Linked DNA regions of Struthio camelus. The protein of the gene in region 1 interacts with the protein of each later gene in a biochemical or structural test. Links are inferred from orthologs where the notes say so. Each region holds a gene or a part of one and is shown in the gene's direction. Other genes may lie near its edges. The genes, in order: TFAP2A, KCTD15 and CITED2.

Region 1 (7,454 bases):
CCCCCTGGAGACGGGGCAGGGGCCATGCTCCCTCCCTTAGGGGTGTGAAACCAGAGCTGCGCTAAACCCGGGCAACTTTCCACGGCAATTTGGCACTTCAGTCCCCGAAGGAACAACCAGGGAGTTGGGGGGAGGGGGGGTGGCACCGGGAGGCCCCAGAGCCCCATAGATCGTCAGCAGCGACTGCAGCATCCCTCACCCCACACCTTTACATCTGCTCAGCCCGCAGGGCCCAGCCTGCGCTGACTCCGCTCCGCCGGGGCAGCTCGGCGGGGCCCCGGGGGGGCTCTGCGCGGCGAGGGCATCCCGTCTGGACCCGCTCCGCAGGCGCAGAGAGCCCCCGGCGCCCCATCTCCCACCTTGCGGGTGGCTGCCCCCCCCTGCCCGACCCTCTTAACACGGAAGGGAGTTGGGGGAGATCGTCTTCATTTGGCCGCTCTTTGTTTCCCCCTAGCCCCCCCCCCCCCGCTCACAGCATCTCCATTTCCCTACTTGTGCTGGTTTATTTCCCCCCCCCCCCGGACATCTTTACTTTGTCTTTGGGGCTGCTATTGTTGGGGCATTGTTATTATTATCACTATTGTAGCTGGCGGCGGACACGCACTCGGTTGCAACTTGCCGCCGAAAAAAATTTACCGGCCCGGCAGGGCGGGGGAGGGGTGAAGGGGAGATTTGGGGGGACCTCACCTTCCCCCCTACCGGCGGGCAGCGTTGCCCCGTCAGGGTGCTGCGGGGGGGGGGGGAAAGGGGGGAGCAGCGGGGCAGCACGGCGCCAGCTGCCCCGGGGGCAGCGTGCCCAGGGCACGGCCGGAGCCGGGGGGTGCCGCCGGGGCAGGGCGCTGCCCGCCGCCGCCCGGCCCCTCGCACGGACGGGCACGCGTGGAGGTGCCGCCGACAGCTCTTCCTCCCCATCTCCTCCTCCTCCTCCTCCAGGCGCCCCTGCACGGGCCCCCTCCCCGGCGCCCCCCTCGGCGGCCCGGCGGGGGTAGCGCTGGGGGGCCGGGGCCGGGCCGCCCCCTCGGGCCGGGCCGGGCCGGGCGCGCTGGGAGCGAGGCGGCGGGGGGCAGCGCGCAGGCAGCGCGCAGGCGCGGGCAGGGAGCACCCAGCTCTTTATGGCCAGGTGAGACAGTCCTGGTGCAGGTAAGGGCAGGATTTAGCCGCGGGGAGCCCGGGCGAGCGGCTCGTACTCGCAGTCCATGACCGTCAGGGAGCTGGGGATACTCAACGCGCAGCCAGGATGTCTATTCTTGCCAAAATGGGGGACTGGCAGGTAATGCGACCTTCCTTTTTTATTTATTTATTTTTAATTTTTGCTTTGGGAAGGGAGGCAGAGCTGCGGCCGCTAAGGTGAGTGGCCCGGAGCCCCGCTCGGGGGCCGGGCAGGGAGCGGGGGCAAAGCCGGGGCCGGGGCTCCTCGCCTGCGGCTCTCTGTGGCCCGAGGTGGCCCCTCGCTCCGGCCAGGCCTTGGCGCAACAGGTCGGCAGCGGCGGCAGTCCGGGCCGGCGTGGGGGGTGCGCTGAGCTGCGCCGGTCTCGGCGGGGGCAGCGAGTCTGCCCCGTCGGGGCTCACAAAGGGACGCGTGTGATCCCTTGGGCCGGCGACAAAGTCCTGTGGCTTGATCCGAGCGTCTCCAGGATCGCTTAAAAGTACCGAGGGGAGCAGTGGGGCCTCGCCGGGGCGGGCGAGGGGTGCGCTCGGCGGGCCTGGGGCAGGGCTGGGGGGGGCGGGTGTGCGAGCGCTTCCCCCGGGGCAGCCTCGGCGAAAACCACGCTCCCGGATCCCACGCTGCGGAATAAGTGTCGGGAGCCTCTGATGAAGACGGTCCTAGTGGCGTGAGAAAAAATGAGCTGAACGAGTTTAAGCAGCAAGAGGAAAGGGCTGTAGGTGCCTCTCTTCCCTGGGCCTTACCCAAACCGCCCAAAAGGTCCCACCAGAGAGGGGGAGGAAAAAACCACCGCAAGCCAAAGGCAAGCTGACACGTGTGGACTTACAGCGGACTCCCACATGGAGACACCCCGAAATCGTTAGTGCTTCCTGGTTTTTGCAGCCACGCAGGCTGGAGCGCCGAGATTTTGCCAACTAACGAAGCAGAAGATGAACTGTCCTGTTCAAACACCTAGGTCTTTATTAGCGAAAACGACTTTTTTTCCAGGACAGTCCGGTGCAAGATGGGAGCCCACCTTCTTCTCTACTTCTCGAATGCCACAATTAAGTCTTTCTCTGGGCCGCATCGATTTTCTTAGAGTAGAAAGAAAGAAGAAAATGCAGTGAACAAATATGCACTTTTACAGTAAAAGCAGCCGTCCTTTTATCAGCTCGGTGCGTTGAAGTGACCGAAAGAGAGGGCGCTTTTTCTTTTTCCTTTTTTTCTTGTACTGAAGTGAACTCTTATGTAATCCCACTTTCGGGCTATCTTCCTTGAAATCTCTTCCCGACTTTATCTTACGTCCCTTCCTCGCTTTTGCCCGTCCCCCGGCGGTGCCGGGGCACCCGCCTGGCTTGGCCGCGGCGGGGTCGGGCTGACCCCCGCGGGGCGCGCAAGTTGCGCGGAGCGCGCTGCGCGTCGCCTCCCCGTTTTTCCGGGACGCGTTTCTGGGGGGGGGGGGGGAGAGGAAGCCGGGCTCTCCGCTACGCCTGAGCCAGCCCAGCCTGGGGCAGAGGAGGGAAAAGAGGCCCCCCCCGGGGCACAAGCGGGGCCGAGGGCAGAGCCGGCCCCGGGGGGACCAGGCCCCTCGGCAGCCGCAGTCGCCCCCTCGGGCCGTGCCGCTCCGGCCGCCCCCTGGCTCCACCGGGACGGCGCTAAGTCGTGATGGCCCCATGCGTTATTCCCCCCCCCCCCGCCTCCTAGTCCTCCTCACCCCCCGTATTAACTAGGCTTAATCTGCCAGCTCCATTTGAACCTCAATGGGAGTAAAAACAACAATTTACTCTCCTGCCACTTGCAGACAAAAGCGATGGTCAAAAAGACCATCGGGGACGGGGGGGGGCAGGGAAGAAGAAAGAAAAAAAAAATTTTTTTTTTTGAGGGGGTAGAGGAGGGTGCAGGGGAACCAGCAGGCCCCGGAGCCCTTAGGCTTTGGGAGCCCGACGAGAGGCGTGTGCGCGGCCCTTCCCCGCTCTGGGGAGCGCCTGCGCCAGGGCCACCCTGGGGCCGAGGTGCGGCTCCCCCCGCGGCCATCCGCGCCGGGGGCTCTTGGCCCCGCGGGGCACTAAATCCGCCTCGACGTTGGTGGATAGCCCCGGGTGATGGGCTCCCAGACCGAAAGGGCAGGTTTCCCGTTGGCACCGGGAAATTTTGAGGTGGCCGCTGCACGCTGGGGAGCCGAAACCCGCAGGGCGGGGAGCCAGCTGGGGCGTGTGCGGGGGCTCCCGCTCCCCCTCCCAGCCGGGTCGGGACAGCGGGGGGGCACCCTGCTCCTCAGCGGATTTGGGAGCCCGGCGGGCTTGGGCCAGATCTGGGGCAGCCTCAGCGGCTGGCAGGCCTGGGCCTCACCGCGGCTCGGCCCAGCTGTTTAAACCGGCGTGGGATCGGCGAGGAAAATGAGAGAAAATGCATGGAGCAAGGCTGGGCACCTGGGAAAAAGAAAAGAAGGGTGGAAAAGAAACCCTAAAGGAGGGCAGAATGAACGCTCATTGAGCTGCACATTGTTAAGCAAACGAAGCGCTCCACCTCAGGAACGACCAAAGTTTTACTATGGTCATTGTTTTGTCCCTTTGCTGAAGTGCATGCAAAAGACTTTCTGGCTCCTGATGTATTCGCATTGCTGCGCACCCAGTTTTATCAGGGAGGTTACGTTGTATATCTTTTTTTTTTTTTTGGAAGATCAATAGCCGAAAGAGCCGAGAGGAACACAAAATTTTACAGAAGAAGGACGCTTTCCAAATACACCCCCCTAAAAGATCAAATCAAATCCAGAGGGCAACAGAAGCCTCCGCAGACTGTAACCCCGTTAGAGCTTCATTTCCCCTCTCCTTGGTTTCTTTAAACCCCGGGGAGAGGAGAAAAAAAAAAAAGTGGTGGCTCGATGGCTAGCCCCAAACCGTGTGCACATGAAGCCTCTCTGATTCCCCTCGCCCGCTGGTGTCCGGCCGGCGGCCCCGGGCGCGGTGGGAGCGGGCGGCGGTGGGCTGCGAGCCGCCGCGCCGGGGCGGGCTCCCCCCGCGCCCGGGCTCTGCGGCTGGCAGAAAGCCTTTCTGCTCGTGGGGCCTTTATACCTGTGTCCATTGCTGCAGGTTGTTGTGCTGGAGAGCAATTGGACTATTGTTGATATGCTAATGAGGCGATTAGGCTGTTGGTAAAGAGCTGGAAAAGGGAAAAGTTTCTACCATTAGAGGGAGATCTCAGAGCGCGCACAGGAGCTCGGCAGAGCCTCCGCCAGCCGCACTCTGCATACCAGAGAGGCACCACTTTAGGGAAAGACAGGGAGAAACAAATCCTCTCTCACGCCAATCCATGAAAATGCTTTGGAAACTGACGGATAATATCAAGTATGAGGAATGTGAGGTAAGCGCTTTCCTGGGCTGGGGCAGAGCCCTGGCCCGCCAGCCGGGAGCGGGACGCTGCAGCATCCATCGATCTCTGAATTTCGTTTAGGAAAACTTCTGCTCCTTCGCCAGGCTTCTTTGCAGTCCTGCAGCTGGAAAGGGGCTGGGGATCCTTCCCCAGGAACTTCGGGGCTTGTGGAAAGCCGGCTTTGTCGGAAGTATATGAGGAAAGAAAAACAGGACGGAGAATGCAGCAGCAGCCTTGTCTATAGGTAGATCCTGTATAGATAAGGCTCTGTAGGATGCTACACTCATCCATATGGATGGATGGATGGCCGAATGAATGGACGGATGAATGAATGAAAGGGTAAAAAGACAAAGGGAAAAGAATTATTCTTACATGCTAGGTACCCGAGGCATCCCAATAGATTGGCTCAGGACCGGCGCTTAAAGTAAGCATCTTGGAGGTAGCTGCTGGTTTGGTAATGCCGAGCTGTACATTTTTTTTTTTTTTCAGTGGTCACTTGCTGGAGTGAAATCAGGGGGTTTGGAGCTATATTCCCCCAACCTCCTAATTTTCAGGCGCTCACTCCCATGGCTTTGAGCAGTAATATTTTAAACTCTCGAAAAATTAAAAATCACCTAATTTGGTTTTGGAGCCGTTCAGCACAGGTTGTGTGCATGAGTGTGTGTACGTGCATCCATATTTTTAGAGCGAGGCGAGTGTCTATTAATCTGACAAAAAGGGAAAAGAAGACGAAAAAAGAAGAAGAGTGATGCCCAGGACAAATGCCTAGCCTCCAACCAACGAATATTATTGTCACACGTTTCGCCAAAGTTGCCTGTGCAGTGCATTTAAACCCCGCAATAAAGGATTCCACTTTGCAAATGAATGTATTTATTTGGTCGCAGCCCATGCGGGAAGGCACCTCCAGCCTCGGCGGCAGCCTTTCCGACACACATTTCGGGGGAGAAGGGGGGGCACGTTCCCATCCGAAACCGCTGCTGCTTTTTGTGATGCCGTTAGGGTAGGGAAGGGACCGAGGACTCGTCAGACGCAGCGAGGACTAAAATATTCAGTATTTTAGCCCTGGATCGAGCAGTTCGGGATAAAGCTGTTTCCCAGTATGGGAGCTGAGCTCTGAGATCGAGCGGCTGTCGGATGCTTGATTTCAAGGAACGAGGTGTCAGGGTATTTTATTTTAATTTTTTTTAAGGCGAAAAAAGAAAATCCTCAGCTGGATTTAGGGAGAAAGCCATGTCTCGACCCGTTCTTCTCCCCAGGATCGGTGTTTATGTGTGCACGTGCGAGTGTGCGGATTTCATCGTAAATGGCTTTTGTTGCCTTGTGCTAATGGGACTTTGCACCGAGGTGCTACCAAACACGATGCGGTGGCCGCTTCCCGGGAGCCCCGGTGGCTTTTGTCTGTGTGTGTCCGTGTGCGGTTTGTCGCCGGGGTTTTGCTTGGAAGCAGATAGGAGCGGCGAGCTGACTTGCAGAGGAAGGAAAAGCGGGTGGCTTTGCCCTGACGGGGAGTAGGACCTGCTTTCGGGGAGGAAAAAAAAATTAAAAAAAAAAAAAAAGGAATAAAAAGGCCAGGAGCCCTCTGCTCCCCCTCACGGCCCGGGGAGGTCATAGCTCCCCGGGGCGCGGGGCCAGGAGCGGCGGGGCGGTGCGCGGAGCGCGGCGGGCGCCGAGGGAGCGCGGCAGCGGGCAGCGGCGCGGAGCGGCGCGGAGCGGAGCCGGTCGGGGGAGCTGCCGGGAGTTGCACAGCCAGTCTGACGGGTTGTGCCGGAGCCTCGGCTTGTCTGGGCCGGGAGAAGCGCTCGCCTTGCCTCTGCCCCCGGCTTCCTCTGCCTTCCCCCCCTGCCCGGCCCTGCCACCCTGCCCCTCCCCGCTGCCTTTACCCCCCCGCCTCTTCTTTTCCGCGACCCCCGGGAGGGGCCGCGGGAGCCCGGCGGATGCTCGCCTGCCGCCCCAGCCGCCCGGCCCCGGGCTGCCGCCGGGCGGGAGACGGCGGCGGCAGCGGCGGCGGAGGAGGAGGAGGAGGAGGGGTAATCAGAAGACGGGGAGACACCCAAAAAAAAAAAAAAAGAAAGAAAAAAAAACTTTCCCAGCCGGTTTCCGGGACGCGGGGCGCGGAGGTGCTGCGGCTCGGCGGGGCGGCCGCCGCGGGGGCAGCGGCGCGGGCAGCCGCGGGCGCGGGGCGCCGTCGAGGGGCATGGACGGGGCGGCGGCGGCGGGGGGCGCCCCCGCGGAGCCCACCCCGCGCAAGGGCGGCGGCGGCGGCAGCGCGGCCGAGGGCGGCAAGGGCCCGGCGGCGGCGGGCAGCCAGCAGCCGCTCTTCTCCCTGGCGTTTGAGGCCGGCTACGCGCAGCAGCACCAGCCCGAGGTGCGCCCCGCTCCGGACCGCCGGGCTGGGGAGGGCGCGGGGAGGGGGGGGGGAAACGGGGCGGCCGGGGAGAGACGGGGAGGGGGGATCCCTCTCCCCCTCCCTTCTCCTTTTCGCCCCGCCGCCCCCCTCCGCACTCCCCCCCCACCCCTTTTCTGGCTCCCACCCTCTCCCTCTCTCCGGATCTCTTTCTCTTTCACTTTTGCATGCCCTGCAACCTTTTAAAATGTTGCCCCTTTCCTGTGATTCGTCAGACGCAGCGGCATGTCCCCCCTCTCGCTCTCCCTCTCTCTCTCTCCCTTTTTGTCTCTCTCTCTCTCTCCCTCTCCCCCATCTCTGATTAGATACACTGATTCTTCATTCAATGGACGTCATTTAGAACAGGCTCTGCCTTGAGTTGCCTTCTCGCTTCACGCTCGATTTCCAGCCATTCTTCCCTTATTAAGTATTCGTGTAATATTAATAGTCATGAATATCTGCTATTAGGAGTCTCCAGGAAGGCAGCAGATCTGTTATTAGGAGCTCAAGTGAAGCGGCAGCTAAGTCAAAGGAGAAAAAGAAAGAAAGAGACAGAGG
Region 2 (8,338 bases), on another chromosome or scaffold:
CATATTCCAGCCCTTTTCTGGAAGAAGCAATGCATATAACCTCCCTTAGAAGTGTATTCAGTTGGGAGCTGCCTGGCTACGCAGGATTTCATACATCGTTCAGCTAAGTCAGCGATCCGTATGCAAAAATCAAGCACTCAGGGACATCGTGTGGATTTGTGACATTCTTTAGGGTACTCTGAGTCTCTAATAAACCAATGAATGGATTACGCTCAACCATACAAATGTTTTTTCCTCTCCGTGACATATGTAATATGGGTAAGCTTTATTTAATAAGTAGCAAAAAATTAATGCCATGTAAGTTACTTAAACAGGTTTAAAATATTCCTCAATATTGTCACTGTTTAAAAAGATGAGTGAGAGAACACAACAAAATGGCAATGTAAAAAGCTGAGAAAGACTGTGCTGAAACGGACACAGGACATCTCGGTCCTTGTGTCCAAAGTTTCATTTTGGGTACTATTTTTGGCTTGTAACAGTTGGAAACACAAGAGATGAGCAAATCTTTTCAATACTGTATTTCTTGACAAGCTATTTAATCTCTGTGTTCCAGTGTGGATTGCTTCTTTATATCACACTGGTGTCATGAGTTAGGAGTTGGATAATGGATGGTTTAAAAAAACTCTGTCTGAATTTAGTCAATAAAGTAATGGTTTGTAAACTCACTCAGCAGCAATTCGTTTCTTGAAAAGAGTAGAAGATCATTCAAGGAAAAAGAGTGACAAAACTCATTGATTTCCTAATGATCAGATTTTGTTCTTTGCATGCTCATGCTTACTGCTCCCAGGAAATCCCTTATCTGCCTACAAATGACAGACGATTATTTGTTTTAATTAGCAAACCCCAGGTCAACTTCCCATTCCAGAATGACCGGCGTGGCAACCGGCTTGAAAACTTGCTTGAACTGGGAGAGGTCTTTAATGCTTCTTTTTGTACTCCTTGTACATCAACTGACAGTAGCAAGTGTTGGAATCTCAAGGTGCTTAATATTTTCAGGTTTCTCACAGGAATAAACCTTTCCCCCTGGCTCAACGCCTGTGTGGCATCAGCCTTTCCACACCTTCTGCTCCCATCTCTCTTTGCCTCGCGGCGGGGCTGGTGCGAGTCACAGGATCCGGGCCCTGCCTCCTCTCGGCGGTGAGACGCGCGGCTCTTCCCTGAGCCTCCGCGGCCCATCTTCTCTTTCGGCGAGAGGCGGCTAAACTCCGTCACATCCATGAAACTTCACAGAAGGTAACAAAGTCGCATACGATTTACTGACTTAAGGCACACTGGAGTCCAACAACCAGCTTTGAAGCACGAATTTCCTACTCAAATCATCCCCCTGCCCAAATCAAACTCTATTTAGAATACAGCAGTCTCTTAATTATGACTGGGAAGAGTGTGAATCTATGTAAAGACATAGACTCCTTTGTTCTAAAGGAACAAAAATCTAATTCTCACTTATTTGCTTTAAACGTTTCATTAAATGATCCATTTTATCGCTTATTCACTGCTTTAGTTGAAAATGCCCACGAGAGTATGAGGTGTTTGAAAGAGGAGGATCAGGTAGTCTGTAGGTTTCTTTCTGCCTTGTTGAAGTTACTGGAAATATCAGTATCGTCGCCAGGAAGCCAGGATCAAACCTCAGGTTAAGATACACAACATAAGAAGCCTCAAGTTAGGACTTACAATACAAGGAAAAGAATAAGCAGTAAGCTAGGATAAGGCCTGCTAGAATAAATTCATGCAGGGCCTTTAAGAACAATAAGGAATTAAAGTTATGAAGTTGATACTCCAGTTTAGAAACCATGGTGTAAACAGAAGCTCATGTTATTTTGCAGTTCATAATACTTCCTTTCACATAGACAATACATTTGAAATCTGGTTTTATATATACATATATATGTATGTGTGTGTGTATATGTATGTATATATGGAACATCTTTTTGATAGATTTATATACCTTAAAATCTGTATCTTTTCATGACTTGGTCATTTTCCATCCTGGAAAATATGCACAATGTGTTGGTTTTGGAAAACATGAAAAACTGGAGAAAATGCACTGAGGTTCTTTATGGGCTTCTATTTCACATTGCATTAAAGTGACAACAAGTTTTCGACTTGTTTACTGAAAAAAATGAAACAAACTATGGAATAATAAGATAAAACGCATGTTACAAAATGTTGCTGTCCAATTTTAAACATCTGCACAGAATACAAAGAACTGTTGATAAGAAAGATGCAAAGTATTTATTTTGAAGTATTTAATATCTTAATAAAAACACATGCTGAGCATTTAGCCAAGAACTTTTAGAGCGCCTATGATAAGTTATAACCTATCAATTTTAATTATATCCTACAACTGAGCTCAGGAATCTTGTGTCATAAATTTTGCATTGCTTTATAAGGAGCATAACAGAATTTTGAGAAAGTAAGTTATGTTCACTTCTAAAATTACTTCTTTGTTCACTACATAGTATTTAATATTTTCCTTTGTACAGTTCTTAATAGTTCAGCTTTAAGTGAAACTCTGAAAAACAATGTTAGAATTTAAAATAAAGTGGAAGATTCTATTTTCAGGGTCACAAGTACCACAGCGAGATTTCTCTCTTAAACAATGACACTTAGTATCTCTGTAGTTCTATGAATACTTTTGAAGTGTCATATTAAAACCAATCTCTTGGCCTTCAGGCAAAGAGAAGCAATTAGTCTTGGAGTTGTGAATAAATAAAAATCCATTTATATACCCGTCCTTGACATGTACCTTGCAAATCTTAGAAACTTCATCTAGTGGGAAAAGAAATGTTAAATCATGAACACCAATACTAATCATATGGCAATGCTGCTTCCTAAAACTGTTTAGTTTGTATCAATCTTTTAAGTATTAATTCATATGTATATATTCATACATATTGAAATACAACAACAGAAGAACACTTGAATGAGAAGAAAGAAATGAGTGAGCGCACATAGAGCTATACTGCACACCTTTATTACCCTCAGCAGCAACACAGGCAAGACGAAAACTCAGAGCTCCCAAGTACATTGTCCTTTTCTAGACACCGTAAGAACAGCCCTTCACAAGTCACACGCCGCGTGCACATCTTCCTCGTCCCAAGCACTGCCGTGTGTCTTTGCTTTGATCCAAATACTCACAAACACACACAATCTTCGTTCGCCCTGCACGCCTTTGCCGTGTAGCACGACTAAATGGTGCCTTTCGCAGACGTGTTGGGATGAGTCAGAAACCAATTTCTGCTTTTTGTTCAGTGCAATATTTTTAGATCTTCTCTTTCTTCTTTACCGTGCTTTAACGCAGAAGCATCGTACTTCTGTGATGCTCTGATCGCTGCCCAAGATGATCATACTTATTTTTCACTTAGCAGCTAGTAATTCACAGAGGAAGTAAAAATTAAGTTGCCAAGCAGTCTGCCTGCACCCCAGCGAACGCGACCTGTTTAACCGGGGCCGCGTAATAGGCTGCTGAGCCTCAGTGGCGCTTGTCCTCCTTCTCCTCCACTTGTTGAGCAGCGCGGCCGGTGAGGGACGCTCGTCCAACGACCAGGCGAGGCAGCTGCCGGGCGACAGGCTTATGCTCGGGGGCCGGGGGGGGTTATTTTAGAAGAAAGCCCACCGTGCCGTGCGCTCCGCCTAGGCACTGCGGGCAGGCCCGGCCCGGGGGGCGGTGGAGCCGTGACCCCTGCGAGCCAACGTACCTGGGCCCATGGGATGGTCAAGGAAAACAAATCTGAGTCTGTTCTGGATGCAAATCTCTCAGCTGACCTAGTTCTCATTCTCCTTTTCATTTCAGAAGCTCAGCTAAAAATCCATAAATTAAGGAAATTAACTGATGGAGCCTCCGGCATCTTTGTAAGCTATTTAAATCTTTAAATTTACAACATCTTCTGCATATATCAAGTAATTGAACTAACTGCAGGGATGTAACTTTAATGAGAAAATTTCCCTCTTCTCCTGTAGTTTGTACTCTTAAAAAAAAAAAAAAAAAAAAGAGCTACCCTTAGGAAAAAAAGTTTCGGTTTATTCCTGCCACGGAAGATAACTTTACAGGGAAAAAAACAACTTCCATTCGAGGGGCTTCTGCCGTCCTCGCGCTGCTCCGTGCGGGCGCGGGCGCGGAGGGCGGCGGCAGCCGCGCTCCCTCCCTCCCCCCCTCCGCGCGCCCGCGGCCCGAGCGCCCCGGCGGCGGCGGCGGCGGCGGCGGCGGCGGCGGCGGCGGCGGCGGCGGCGGCGCGTTACGTAACGCTGCGCCGGCCGCGCCGCGCTCCGCGGCTAGTAGGCGCTGCAGCCCCGCAAGTCAGCGCCGGCCGCGGGCTCCGCACGCCGCTGCGCGGGCGCGCTGCGGGCCGGCTCGGCTCGGCTCGGCTCGGGCGGCCGCGGGGCGCCCCGCGGAGCAGCGGCGCGGTGGGGCGCGGAGCGGCCTGTTCCCCCCCCACACCCCACCCCTCCCCGCCGACCATCACCCCGCGGCCGGGCCCGCGGGCGCGGTGCGCGGGCAGCACACGGCGCTTGCCCAAACCCGCCGGCGCCGCAGAGCCACCTCGGCCTGCTTGGGCTGAAAGTTGAGGGCGGGTTTTGCTGTCCTCTCCCCCCTCCCTTTCCCCCCCCCTCCTGCCCCTCTCCGCCCCCCTCCGCCGCCCCCCCGGCGCGCGGGCGGCGGTGCGCGCCCGCGGAGCCCCGCGCCGCGGCGCCGCGCGCTCTAATTGCGCTGGCGCGTTTGGCCGGGGGCGGGCTGCCAGGGCGCGCTCGGCGGAGCACAATGCATGTCGATAGACGTCATTTGGTTTTAATGGCCTACAGGAAATTTGGCGTTTACAATGCGAGACATTAGCGGAGGGCGAGGAGGAAGGGGGCGGCCGCGGCCGCGGCCCCGTCTGCGCCCGCCGCCGCGGGGGGGCTGGCCGCGGCCCGGGGGGCGGCGGGAGGTGGTGGCTATTATTATTATTATTTATTTTTAAACTTGATCTAGTTTATCAACAAGTGCAGAGTGGGTGCTACCCTAATTGTAACAGAGGAGTCAAGAGATGTGAGAAACGTGCCCTGTGTTACTTATTTGGGAGCTGAAAATTTATGCCCCGTTGAAAATGCCTGGGGAAATATTACATCAGACCAAATGACAATGATTAAAATCAGCTTTTCCCCCCCCCCTTCCCTCCCCCCTTTTTCCTCCTTCTTCTTTTCAGTAAGTCTGTTGAAGGACGTGACAGTGGCCTGATCCTCCCCAACACCGAACCGTTATCCCCGGCAGGGCCGGGCCGGGCCGGGCTGCGCGGGGCTGCGCGGGCCGCGGCCCCGCCCGCGCGGCGCGGAGGGGCTCTGCGGGCGGCGGCGCCGGGGGCGCGGGCTGCGGCGCCGGCCGCCTTCCCAGCCGTGTTTCATTTTCAAGGGTTGTATTTTTTTATTTTTTTTTTGCGGGGGGTGGGAGTGGGGGGGGAATAAATCTGGAAATCCTCACCAAAAGGAGGGAAAAATATCCAATTTTCATCGCAAAATTAGCTCGGGCGAGAGCAAAGGGCTGAGCTAATTGTAGCCTAATCCTCTGCCCTGCAGGCGTTTGCAAAGCCCTGAGCAAGAATTCGCTTTTTTTCCTCCTCTTCTCCCTTCCCTCTGTTATTTAGAGACGGGATTATTGCCTTTCTTCTCATAACAGCCTCGGCAGTTTCATTTAAAGGCTTTTTTCCCCCCTCACACACACACACAAAATAAATAGAAGCAGCAAAAAAAAAAAAAAACAGGGAGCGAGACAGGGGAAAGAGAGCGAGAGCAGCTTTAAAAATAATAATAATCACAGCAGGATCCGAGGAGCAAAGATAGTAATAAAAGCCAAAAGCGAGCCCATCACCACACAAACCCAGCCGAGCCCAGAGCACAGGGGGGCTCGCTCGCAGCTCTCTTCTGCGCGCAAGGTAAGCAAGCGGCCGCGGCCGCGCACTGCCGGCGCGGCGCTGCATCGCCCGGGCGCGCCTTGGCCCTTTTTTTTTTTTTTTTTTTTTTTTTTGGAAAGTGCCTCTTCTTGAAAGTCGCTCGGCTCTTGGCTCCGGAGAGGCAGCGGCGGCGGCGGAGGGCTGGTGCTTTTTAAAGCTACAGGACGCGTTTGCAGCGGGCGCGCGCGCCTGTGTGTGTGTGCGCGGTGTGTGCGCGCGGTGTGTGTGTGTGGTGTGTGTGCGCGCTGTGCGTGCGCGTGTGTATGTTTTGTTTTGCTCCGCTCCAGCATGGGCAGCGCCGGCGGAGCCCCGCGGCCCGGGGTGCCCGCGCTCCCGCTGCCGCTCCCGCTGCCGCCCCGGCCCCGGCTCTGAGGACGGCGCAGCCCCGGCGCGGCGCAGGCAGCGCGGCTCGCTCCGCGCGCTCGCATGGTACGCGCGGGGCCGCGGCGGGCGGGCGGGGTGGCTGCGCGCCGCGGGGGTGCGCGGGCCGGGGCGCGGGGGCCGGCGCGGCACAAAGGGAAGGCGGGCGACAATGGGGCGAGCCGCGCAGGGAAACGCGGGCGGGCGGTGAATGAAACTCTGGCGCCAGTGAGAGTGCAAGGCTCGGCTCGGCTCGGCTCGGCTCGGCTCGGCTCGGGGGAGACTTCCGAGCACTCCAGGCTATAGTTTGCATCGCTGCTGCTGCGTGCGATGTGGCACACTTCTGCAAAATTAATACATTAGCCTGGCTAATGTGCACCACCATTGGCTGTGCACAGCATGTATAGGATCGGAGAGTCGGCTTTTCCTTTTTTTTTTTTTTTTTGCATTCATCTAAGACATCTCCTTTCTTGTTATGTGAGAATAAGTAAAGGACGCCATGTTGTGCCTTTTCTTTTTTTTTTTTTTTTGCTTGAATTTACCTTTGGGCATACGGTATGTTTAAAAGAAAAAGGCAGAAGTTCAGCGACCGGGGTGCGTTGCTTACTGGTGATTTCTCTGACCATCAGCAGGGAAAGGCATTTGGGTGACGTGAAACTTGCACTAAATAGACTGGAGACTGCCAGAGACAGGCGGCTTGGGGGGGGAGGAGAAAGCCTTTTTCTTTTTCTTTCTCTTCTTTTTTTTCTGTCTTTTTTTTGGGGGGGGGCGGTAACGGGAGCTCCACAGTGAGACCCCCCCCCTCCCCCGTAAAAGTTTTGGGCACGATCTGCTCTGTCACTCGGTCGGGTATTTTGTGAGCCAGCGTGGAGGTGTGTGCAAATGTTTATGGACTTTCAATTTTGGAGCCATCTGGTCAGAGGTTTCAAATAACCCGATCCCTTCTTTGTCTTTAGGCTGGGTTCACGGCATAAACTATTGTCTGCGAGTGGCTTAGGAGGCAGATTCAGAGCGCGCACTGCACGGGTTTATGGAGACAAAGGTAATTGCGAGTGTGGAGTTTGGACCCCCTGGCTGAGCGGGGTGCGGGCGCTGCAAGCGCAGGCACCGCCGTGAAGTCACGGCAGCGCCAGGTCAACTTCTGTGCCTGGTGTTGCCCAGGAGTGCTGGAGATGGGCAGGTCGAGGGGCTGCAGTGGGTGATTTTACTCTTCGAGCTATGGTAGAGCTGCCGTTAAAGAAATAAAGGGCTCTGGGGAGGGAAAAAAAAAAAAAAAAGGAAGAAAAGCTTCAGCGCGAATCCAATAAAGAAACCAGTCAGGGAACAGATGTTGGTGCTGATCTCATTACAGACGAGCCAGTGGTCCTGCCGCAGACTGGACTTTGCGCCTTTGCTACCCACCGCTAGCTGGCTGCATGTGGGCCCGGGATGCCCCCTTCCCACGTCTTCTGGGGAGGGGAGAGCTGTTTCATGGCAGGTCCTTAAACCTGCAGTTTTCATTTCATGTCTTAAATGTGCATGAAGGAATTAAACTGCACGAGTGAATAACAGCATTAGTTTCAATTAATTTTTATCCTGGCAACAATAAACTTTAGAAACAAAGCGCTTTTACATCCTTAATTAGTCTTGCTTCCCATCTGTAGTCTTTTAAGTGTCTGTTCCTTGATTTAACTTTGTCCCTCCTTCAGAGCTGCCTCCTTTTTCATTCTTTTCCCTTTTTTCTCGTTACCCTTCCAGACTGCTGCTTGTTTCTTCCCTGCAACCTTTCACCTCCCTTGTCCCTATCTGTCTGCTCTGCTCTGCGCAGTTTATTTCTACTGTATTTTCCCAACATCAACAGCAGTATTGGTTACCATGGCCCCGAGCTATGTGCAGAGGTGGGAAAGCTTCATCCGCCCAAAAGTTCTTACACTTTTGAAGTCTTTCTTTTAGTAGGATCTGAAATGTATCATCTAGAGTGTGTATTAAATGAACAGTATTCCTGAAGGCTTTAGAGCAAGAAAGGCAACACCCTGGAAAATTCTGCAGTCTTTCAGCATTCTCTGCCCTAGGGT
Region 3 (8,404 bases), on another chromosome or scaffold:
GACTTTCTCACAGGAAAAAGACAATACAGACAAAGAGTGCAAAGCCACATTCATTATTACCATTATAAATATATTACTATCTTGAGCCATCTAAACAAACAGGAAAAGGTGGGTGGAGAGACTAGCACAATTTGCATAGCCCATGTTCCTTAATTTAGAAAACTACTTTGATATGTACATCTTTGGCTCCTGGCACACAAACAAGGGATGCAAGTTCATGAAACCCTTAACTTACCTCCAAATGGTTTGGGAAGTTCATTGCTTTCAGTAACTCTCTTTGCTCTTTATAAAGATTTGTTGCTAATAAATACACTGGTAACCACTGTTCTCAGCAGAGTAACCACTTCTAATCAGCAGAGACATCAATTACCTTGTGAAACCCAGCAAAGAAAAAATGAGTCCTAGGCTGACTAGCGGAGATAGCGCATGCTCTGTCTCTCTTTACATTTCCACCTACTCTCCCATGCTGACCAACTGTAAGGAACACAGCACAGATTTTCTTTTGCTTGGACATCAATCCGTTAATTCCTTCTAACATACACCACTACTGACAAAAATTCCTGTTGGGTCATCTCTTCCACACCTGGGCTGCATAGTTATATGTCGGACTACTTTATCTCATTGAACAGTAGCCTTCCCATATAGAGAAGATCATTGAAACAGAAGGACAGATGGTAAGCTCTGGGGAACACTGGCCGGTGTCTGGAAGCAGCAGAGGGGAACTGTGACAATTTTAGGAAGCTTGTGCCTGGTACTGAACTAACTGAGTCAACCTGAAGTAAACCTCTCTCTTCTGGTTCTGTAGTCTTGATTTTGTTGTTATTCAAACTGAAGAACAAGCAAGGTCATTCCCTCCCACTGAGATACTCTGAGGATCTCATGCCCAGGCCCATAGCTAACCTTGTGCCCACTGTACACTTTCCCCCATCAAACCATATAAGAATAATCACAGAATCACAGAATGGTTGAGGTTAGAGGGGACCTCTGGAGATCATCTAGTCCAAACCCCCTGCTCAAACAGGGTCACCTAGACCACATTACTCAGAATTGTGTCTAGATGGCTTTTCAACTTCTGCAAGGAAGGAGACTCCACAACCTCTCTGGGCAACCTGGTCCAGTGCTCACTCACCGTCACAGGAAAGAAGTTTTTCCTCATGTTCAGACAGAACTTCCTGTGGTTCAGTTTCTGCCCGTTGCCTCTTGTCCTATCGCTGTGCACCACTGAGAACAGCCTGGCCTCATCCTCTTGACACCCTCCCTTCGGATAGCTATACACATTGATCAGATCCCCCCAAGTCTTCTCTTCTCCAGGCTGAACAGGCCCAACTCTCTCAGCCTTTCCTCATAGGAGAGATGCTCCAGTCCCTTCATCATCTTAGTAGCCCTTCACTGCACTTGCTCCAGGAGCTCCATGTGTCTCTTGTATTGGGAGCCCAGAGCTGGACACAGTACTCCAGATGAGGCCTCACCAGGGCTGAGTAGAGGGGGAGGATCACCTCCCTCGACCTGCTGGCAGCACTCTTCCTCATGCAGCCCAGGATACCATTGGCCTTCTTGGCCACAAGGGCACATTGCTGGCTCATGGTCAACCTGTTGTCCACCAGCACTCCCAGGTCCTTCTCCTCAGAGCTGCTTTCCAGCAGGTCAGCCCCCAAAATGGGTCTCTCAGGAAAGCATGCCAAAGAATGGAATTTTCTCCTAGTCAAAAAACCCTACTTTTTTATCCCACTGACCAAAAACCACTGTTCTTCTCACAAAGGGAAATTCGAGGAGAAAAAAATGCATGTTGAGAGACTGAAATAGATTTCTATGCTTCCTGGGTGCCCATCTGGAACATGCTTGTCAAGTTCATCGTTTTTTCTAGAGACAGAAAATGAAACCAGCCAGAGCCATCCAGCCTCACTGCTGGTAAAGCAAAGAGCTGTGGCCCTCCGGCACCACAGTTCCCTCTTCTCTCCCAAGTGCCATGTGCCCCTGGGACGGGTCGGACTGAAGGAAGTTGTGAGCGGGTCAAAAACAGGAGTAGCTGGAAAATCATGACTTGCCTTCTCAATAAGCTTCTCAAGCTTAATCACTTCTACAGAAAGGGCATTTCTTCCAGGATATCATTCTAATATAAATTTTCCCATCAGATAACCCTAGCAGATGTCCTAAACTGAGTTTTCCTGACTGCTTTGTGCCAGAGTGGAACACACAGAAATTTGTCTCCAGGGTGATATGGGAGAAACAAGTCACAGTGAGTTACAGATTGTATTTTCAGGGTTGCCAAAAAGGACTTAGAGATCCAAGTCCTCCTGAAATTCGTTGCCCTGTATATCCAGTTCCTGTGATGTATCCCTAGAACTGCAAGCATTCATTTAACATTTTCAGCAAATACCTGGAAAAACATCATCTTGGATTCTCCTTTTTGATTTTCCTTTCTGTTCTGTCACACTCTGCAGATGTTCCAGTCGGGAAGGAATGCGCAGGGTAGCCTCCAGGGTCAATTCCTGTATGCCCTTCTGACTGAAAATGTTAACACCCTCCTGAGGATCCATCTTTTTCCTTCTTTTCTACTGTTGTATTTGATATTTCTCAGTGATTCTTTCTAGATGGGCACAGCAGTCACATTCTGCTTTCAATGATACTCAGATTCTTCACTGAGGAGTGATTTGGTGAACGTCTCCACTTTCATCCCCTCCCCTGGCCATCTCCTGTGTTCTCCAGATATGCAGTGTCCCACTTTCTTACTATTTGACTGAAGAACCAATTCAGGTATGCAGAAGACTTTGAAGAATACCACTGAAAAGATTGCTTTAAATAACTGTGGCTCAGATTAGGAGTGGCAAACAGATGAGATTCATAGTTTCCTAGTAGCTCTACAGTGATGGATTCATGCTTTGTCCTGCATTCCCTTTGCTGCTTGTCACCAGTCTTCAAGCCATTTCCTGGAAAGCAACCAACTGATTGTATTCCCATTTTGTTGTAGAATGCTGTGGCCATAAACCATCTAACAATGAAAAACTTGGCTCATCTTGCACCACACTGCTGAACTTTATCTGGATCGCATTGCAATCCCTGATGAAGAAAGATCCATCCTGCCTAATTCTTTGCAGATGGGCTATAAATACCTGAAAATATGTTTTGTATGAGTGTGTCACAGAGGCTGTGACATGCCTACTATTTCTTCTGGCAGTCTCATGTCAATTCTCCGTAACTAACTTTAGCACCCAGTACCAGCTTCCAGCACCTGAAAACCAAAAATAGGAATGGGCATTCAAAGTGTTGTGATATAATACACATTTGGCTTTAGAAAGGAGCTCAAACTTAAGGCAATGGAGAGCAAAAAGGCACACCAATCTCACCATGGATATGTGACATTAAACAAACCACTTGTCATGATACTCTGCTGAGTAATTGCCACACGGAACAGGACCTTCTTATTATTCACTGTTTTGCCCTGTAAAACCTACACAACCCCGAGAAGGAGAAATCTGTAGAAAGCTCTTGCTTCTCTGACCATCCCTGGCTAGATAAGAGGCCCTGCTTCAATAGCACCTCCCAGAAGTCCACCTACTCACACACATGAGAAGACCAAAATGTGACATCATGGTAGGCATCCTACTTAATCCCACAAGAAATCTAGCCACAGGATGAGGTCACTTCCTCAAGGTAATGCTGACACTTGCAAGACTTCCTGTTCTCCCAGCCCTCCAGTTCTATCCTCGCCACCCTTCACAGCTGGGCTTTCTGCAGCGCGTTCTTCTGGCGCCTTGTACGTTCCCATCCTCGGCTGCCTGCTCGCAGGGCTTTGCTTGGATTGCACCAGCCACCCAGGGAATTACCCTCTGCTGCACCTTGCTGCACCCGGGAACCCAGCTCAGCCTCCATCACAGCGGGAGACAGGTGGAGTTAACCCTCCTTTTGGTTTCGCCTTTGCAATTTGCTGTGGCCAAGCAAGGGCCTGGCCCATCCATAAGGGGGTAAGAGGCCAGCTGCATTGACAGGCCTGCTCCTGATGGCCTGTTTGCCCTTGCCCATGCCTCCCCTCAGAAACCTGGTGCACCTCTCACGCTCTTGTGTCCTTGGACAGCTCGCAGAGGAGCAGAAGCTCCAGCTCAGCCTGCATGATGGCTGCTTTGACCTCTGAAAAGGTGCCCACGGTTCTTGGGCTCCTGGGGGGCAGCCTGCCTAGAGCTGCCTCCTCCGCAGTCAAGCGGGCAGCGGCCCAGTGCCTGGTCTTGGGTGCGGAGAGGGGGAAGCCAGGTGAAGACACCACAGAAAAAAGGGCATCATCCAGTTCTTCTCTGCAGCTGGCCTCTGCCCTTCCCCCTCGGTGTTTGCATGCTATTTCAGCCCAGCCACCCTTCAGAGAGGAGCTGGTAGATTTGGAGCAAGAGGTGCATTTTGCAAGCACAGGAGCGCTGTTGTCGGGGGATTTTGTGCGCTCTTGCCCCTGCTGGGCCGGAGCAGGGCCAGTCACCGCCACTGTACTGTGAGGCAGGGTACTGCCCAGAACAAATAGGTGATAGGGGACGTGCCCAGCCGGGAGGAGCACGCTTACAAAGCATGTATCCACGCTCTGCATTTTTTTTTCCTTTGCCCTTCCAAGAAAACCCGTCGTAATAACCCACCAAAACGACCTAGGGTCAGCACTCGCCTTGCCCACGCGGGACGGCCGGCAACTCGTGGGGCAAACCCGGTGGAGGGAGAGCGTGTGCCGGCACCCCCTTCTCCTCCACCTCCGGCATGCGGGGCAGCGGCAGCGGCGGCGGCGCCCATGTCTGTGGAAAAAAGTGGATCTCGGATCCCGCCGCCGGGAGAGGGGCCGGCCCCGGGGGAGCCCACGCGGCGCCCCGGGAGAGCCCGCGCCGGCGGGGCCGGGCACCTGCGGCCGTGGCGCCGCCGAAGGGAGGACGAGCCTGGCTGAGCCGGGGGCAGCGCTGCCGGAGCGCCGAGCCCCACGCGTGTCCGCGGCCGGCGGCGCCGCGCCTCGCAGCTCCGCAGCGCCCCCCCAGGGTGGGGGCCGGCGGGAATGACCGGAGCTGGGCGAGCAGCGAGAGCGGAGCCGGCTAGTTTGGGCTGGGAGGGTGCAGGGGGGAACCCCCAGCTGTGAGTGGCCCGCGGGGTGCGGGGGCTCCGCTGACCGCCCGGCCCGGAGCCCCGCTCTGCCCACGGCGGGCAGCGCTGCCGCGGGTGGGCGGCGCGGGCTCCTCCGGGCAAGAGCACAAGTGATCAGCAAACACACGTGTGGCTCAGCCAGAAGGAACAGGATTCCTTGGATGCCTTCCAGATCCGCCTGGCCCTTTCTGCGTGTCTTCGTGTGTGTGTGTGTGTGTGTGCGCGTGCGTGCGTGCGTGTGTGTGCGTGTGTGTGTGTGTGTGTGTGTGTGTGTGTGTGTTCGTGTGTGTGCGTGCGTGTGCGCGCGCGCTGGGGTTTTTTTTTTTTCCCCCTCGCTTGCTCCAGGTTTTACTTCTGGTTGCCTGTAAGGGTTTTGCTCCTCCCTTCTGAAATCCTATATTAGCTGTGGCCAAAGCTGGGTAAGAAACACAGCTCATTGTTGGCAAGTGCCGATGAGCCTCGCGGAGGAGTGAAAAACAGCTTTGGGTCTGCGGCAGCGGCAGCAATAGCAATAATATCACCATCACGTAAGCGCAGAGGAGAGAGCCAGGGAAGCCCTCTCTATGCTGGGTGACTTTTACTGACTGATTTCACCGACACCTTTGAAGCGACAGAAGAAAGAAGCAGGGAGGTGAGTGTGGAGCTTCTGTGGCTGGTGTTGTGTGTCCCTTTTGTGTGCAACAGGAAAAAATGTGACTGCTTAAATACACGGGGGGCGGGGGAGGGAAGGTAGTCCTCAGCTGTGTGGCTTAATCTCCTTATCTGTGCAGTACTATATTTAAAAAAAAAAATCTTCGGACTTAATTCCAAAAGTTGCTGACAAGGGCTAGATGGGACGTATTTAATTCTTTGCTTGTTCTCTGCAAGTTATCGAGAGTGTCTTTTAAAAATGTTCCCTTTCCTGGCAAATCCAGGGGGCTTGGGAGCCTTTTGAACGTGTTGGGGAGGAGGTGGTCGTTGCTGTATGCAACGCTTTCCGCTGATAGGTATGCAGAAGTTGAAGTGGGAAGGCGTGTTGCTCGTTGGATTTGCAGAGGGGACTGAGATTTTTGCACTGCAGACTCGTCTTTTATTTTTCGCTTTGTACTCTACGGTAGAGTCGTGGTAGGAGATTTTTTTTTTTTTCCTCCCTCTTTGAAAGAGAGGACGGCGGGACCAGCCAAGTCATTTCTCTCAGGGACAGATACATGCAGCGAGTTCCGAAGAGGGAGATTTGATGTCTGAGGGCTGGTTTTTTTTTTTTTTTCTTAATATATTCCCATGCTAACTTTCTAGGTGGGAAATGGCAGACCACATGATGGCCATGAATCACGGGCGATTCCCTGACGGATCCAGCGGGCTTCACCACCACCCTGCCCATCGGATGGGAATGGGTCCCTTTCCTACCCCCCATCACCACCACCAGCAACAGCAGCAGCAGCACGCCTTCAGCGCCTTGATGGGCGACCATATACATTACGGAGCTGGAAATATGAACGCAACTAGCGGGATCAGACACGCCATGGGGCCCGGGAGCGTGAACGGAGGGCACCCTCCCAGCACCATGCCGCCCGCCGCGAGGTTTAGCGGCTCCCAGTTCATGGCCCCCCCCGTGGCCAGCCAAGGCGGGCAGCTCACAGCCAGCATGCAGCTCCAGAAGCTGAACAACCAGTATTTCAGCCACCACCCCTACCCTCACAGCCACTACATGCCGGACTTGCACCCGGCGAGCCACCAGCTGACGGGCAGCAGCCAGCATTTCAGGGACTGCAGAGACCCCAAGCACGGCGGCGGCGGAGGCGGCGGCGGGCCGCCCGCCGGCCCCCACGGCCCCGCGGCAATGCTGCCCCCCAATGTCATAGACACTGACTTCATCGACGAGGAGGTCCTCATGTCCTTAGTCATCGAAATGGGCCTGGATCGCATCAAGGAGCTGCCCGAGCTGTGGTTGGGACAGAACGAGTTTGACTTCATGACAGACTTCGTTTGCAAACAGCAGCCCAGCAGGGTGAGCTGCTGATTCATTGAAAACAAACAAAGGACTTTCTATCGGTGTGAATGAAAACATTCCCTTAGACACAGTGTCTCACTTTTCAGGGCTTGAAAAGGTGAGAATCTGGAAAGCAGAGTAAACTATGCGCTTGTATAAATCTTTTTTTTTTAATTGCTGCCACTTTTTTTTTTTTTTTTGGGGTAGCTTTGACACTCACCTCCCCTCCTGTAGGAATAATTTCTAGCTAACTCTGCCTTTTTATGTTGTCCTCCCCCTGCCCTTCTCTCTCTTAATTTCCTTGCAGTAACATGCCCATGATTTCCACAGTGCTGAACTGTTAGATATTAATCTTGGCAAATTGCTTAATCTTGTGGATTTTGTAAACGATGATTTCCAATGACTTGAACTGCATTCAAATTCTGAGTGAACAGGGGAAAAAATTGCATTAGTTGGTTGCATGAACTTTGAAGGGCAGATACTACTGCACAAATGCTGCCATCTTGCTTCATTTTTTAACTATGCATTGCAGTGCAGACTAATAAATATATATATATATTTTTTTGAATATGCTAAACTGGAAGCTTAACAGATGTGGGCCAAACCTTTCCGAATCAGGAAAAGTAATACTGTTACTTAAAGTCTGCTACCCAGTCCCCCTCCCCCATATGTACAGACAATAATATGGTGTGGATGGAATGTTGACTAGTGGCAAACATTTCACAGTTGGTTTTTTTTAATTATAATTATTTTGTTTCTGTCTTCAGCATTTTGACACTGTGCTAATATAGTTTATTCAGTACATGAAAAGATACTACTGTGTTGAAAGCTTTTCAGGAAATTTTGACAGTATTTTTGTACAAAACATTTTTTTGAGAAAATATTGTTAATTTATTCTATTTTAATTTGCCAATGTCAATAAAAAGTTAAGAAATGCTTTAGTTTTTCTAGAAGTCATTTACCAGTATTTTTCTTCAAAACTCTCCCCGCTGTCCCTGGTAAGTAGAACATCTATCTGTACAACTGTTGTTGGTGTTCAAAAAGACATTCCAAAATAGAAAGTACACTGCACCCATATATATGTCATGGTGAACTCAGTAGGTGAGCAGGATTTAAACATACTTACAGCATAAAGCCTCATACGTAACATTGTAATATGCCTGTCAGTGTGGTTTTATGAAAAATAAAGTTGCCAAGATGCAACTTTTTCTGTGACTTGCCAACATACTTGCTTTAAATGTAGTTGTCCAGAGTTATGATGCATAAAGTATTTATTATATTTATCTATTAAACTTGTAATTTTATAAATCCTCTTTCACTTATATAGTAGACTTT

The links.
Region 2: the proteins of TFAP2A (region 1) and KCTD15 form a complex in vitro, tested with the Homo sapiens proteins (2 studies listed by BioGRID, with this or other methods). The link is inferred for Struthio camelus from reciprocal best matches to the Homo sapiens genes TFAP2A and KCTD15.
Region 3: the proteins of TFAP2A (region 1) and CITED2 form a complex in vitro, tested with the Homo sapiens proteins (2 studies listed by BioGRID, with this or other methods). The link is inferred for Struthio camelus from reciprocal best matches to the Homo sapiens genes TFAP2A and CITED2.

What each region holds. Positions count from the first base shown.
Region 1 is NC_090943.1:101,340,940-101,348,393, forward strand, and holds the start of TFAP2A (transcription factor AP-2-alpha), read left to right. Parts: upstream 1-4,328; 5' UTR 4,329-4,453; coding exon 4,454-4,504; intron 4,505-7,454.
Region 2 is NC_090951.1:11,807,473-11,815,810, reverse strand, and holds the start of KCTD15 (BTB/POZ domain-containing protein KCTD15), read left to right. Parts: upstream 1-5,318; 5' UTR 5,319-5,906; intron 5,907-6,047; exon of another isoform or gene 6,048-6,350; coding exon of another isoform or gene 6,351-6,353; intron 6,354-6,421; exon of another isoform or gene 6,422-6,839; intron 6,840-7,240; 5' UTR 7,241-7,314; coding exon 7,315-7,326; intron 7,327-8,338. UniProt on the Homo sapiens protein: During embryonic development, it is involved in neural crest formation. Inhibits AP2 transcriptional activity by interaction with its activation domain.
Region 3 is NC_090944.1:75,328,544-75,336,947, reverse strand, and holds CITED2 (cbp/p300-interacting transactivator 2), read left to right. Parts: upstream 1-5,225; 5' UTR 5,226-5,731; intron 5,732-6,375; 5' UTR 6,376-6,382; coding exon 6,383-7,099; 3' UTR 7,100-8,391; downstream 8,392-8,404. UniProt on the Homo sapiens protein: Transcriptional coactivator of the p300/CBP-mediated transcription complex. Acts as a bridge, linking TFAP2 transcription factors and the p300/CBP transcriptional coactivator complex in order to stimulate TFAP2-mediated transcriptional activation.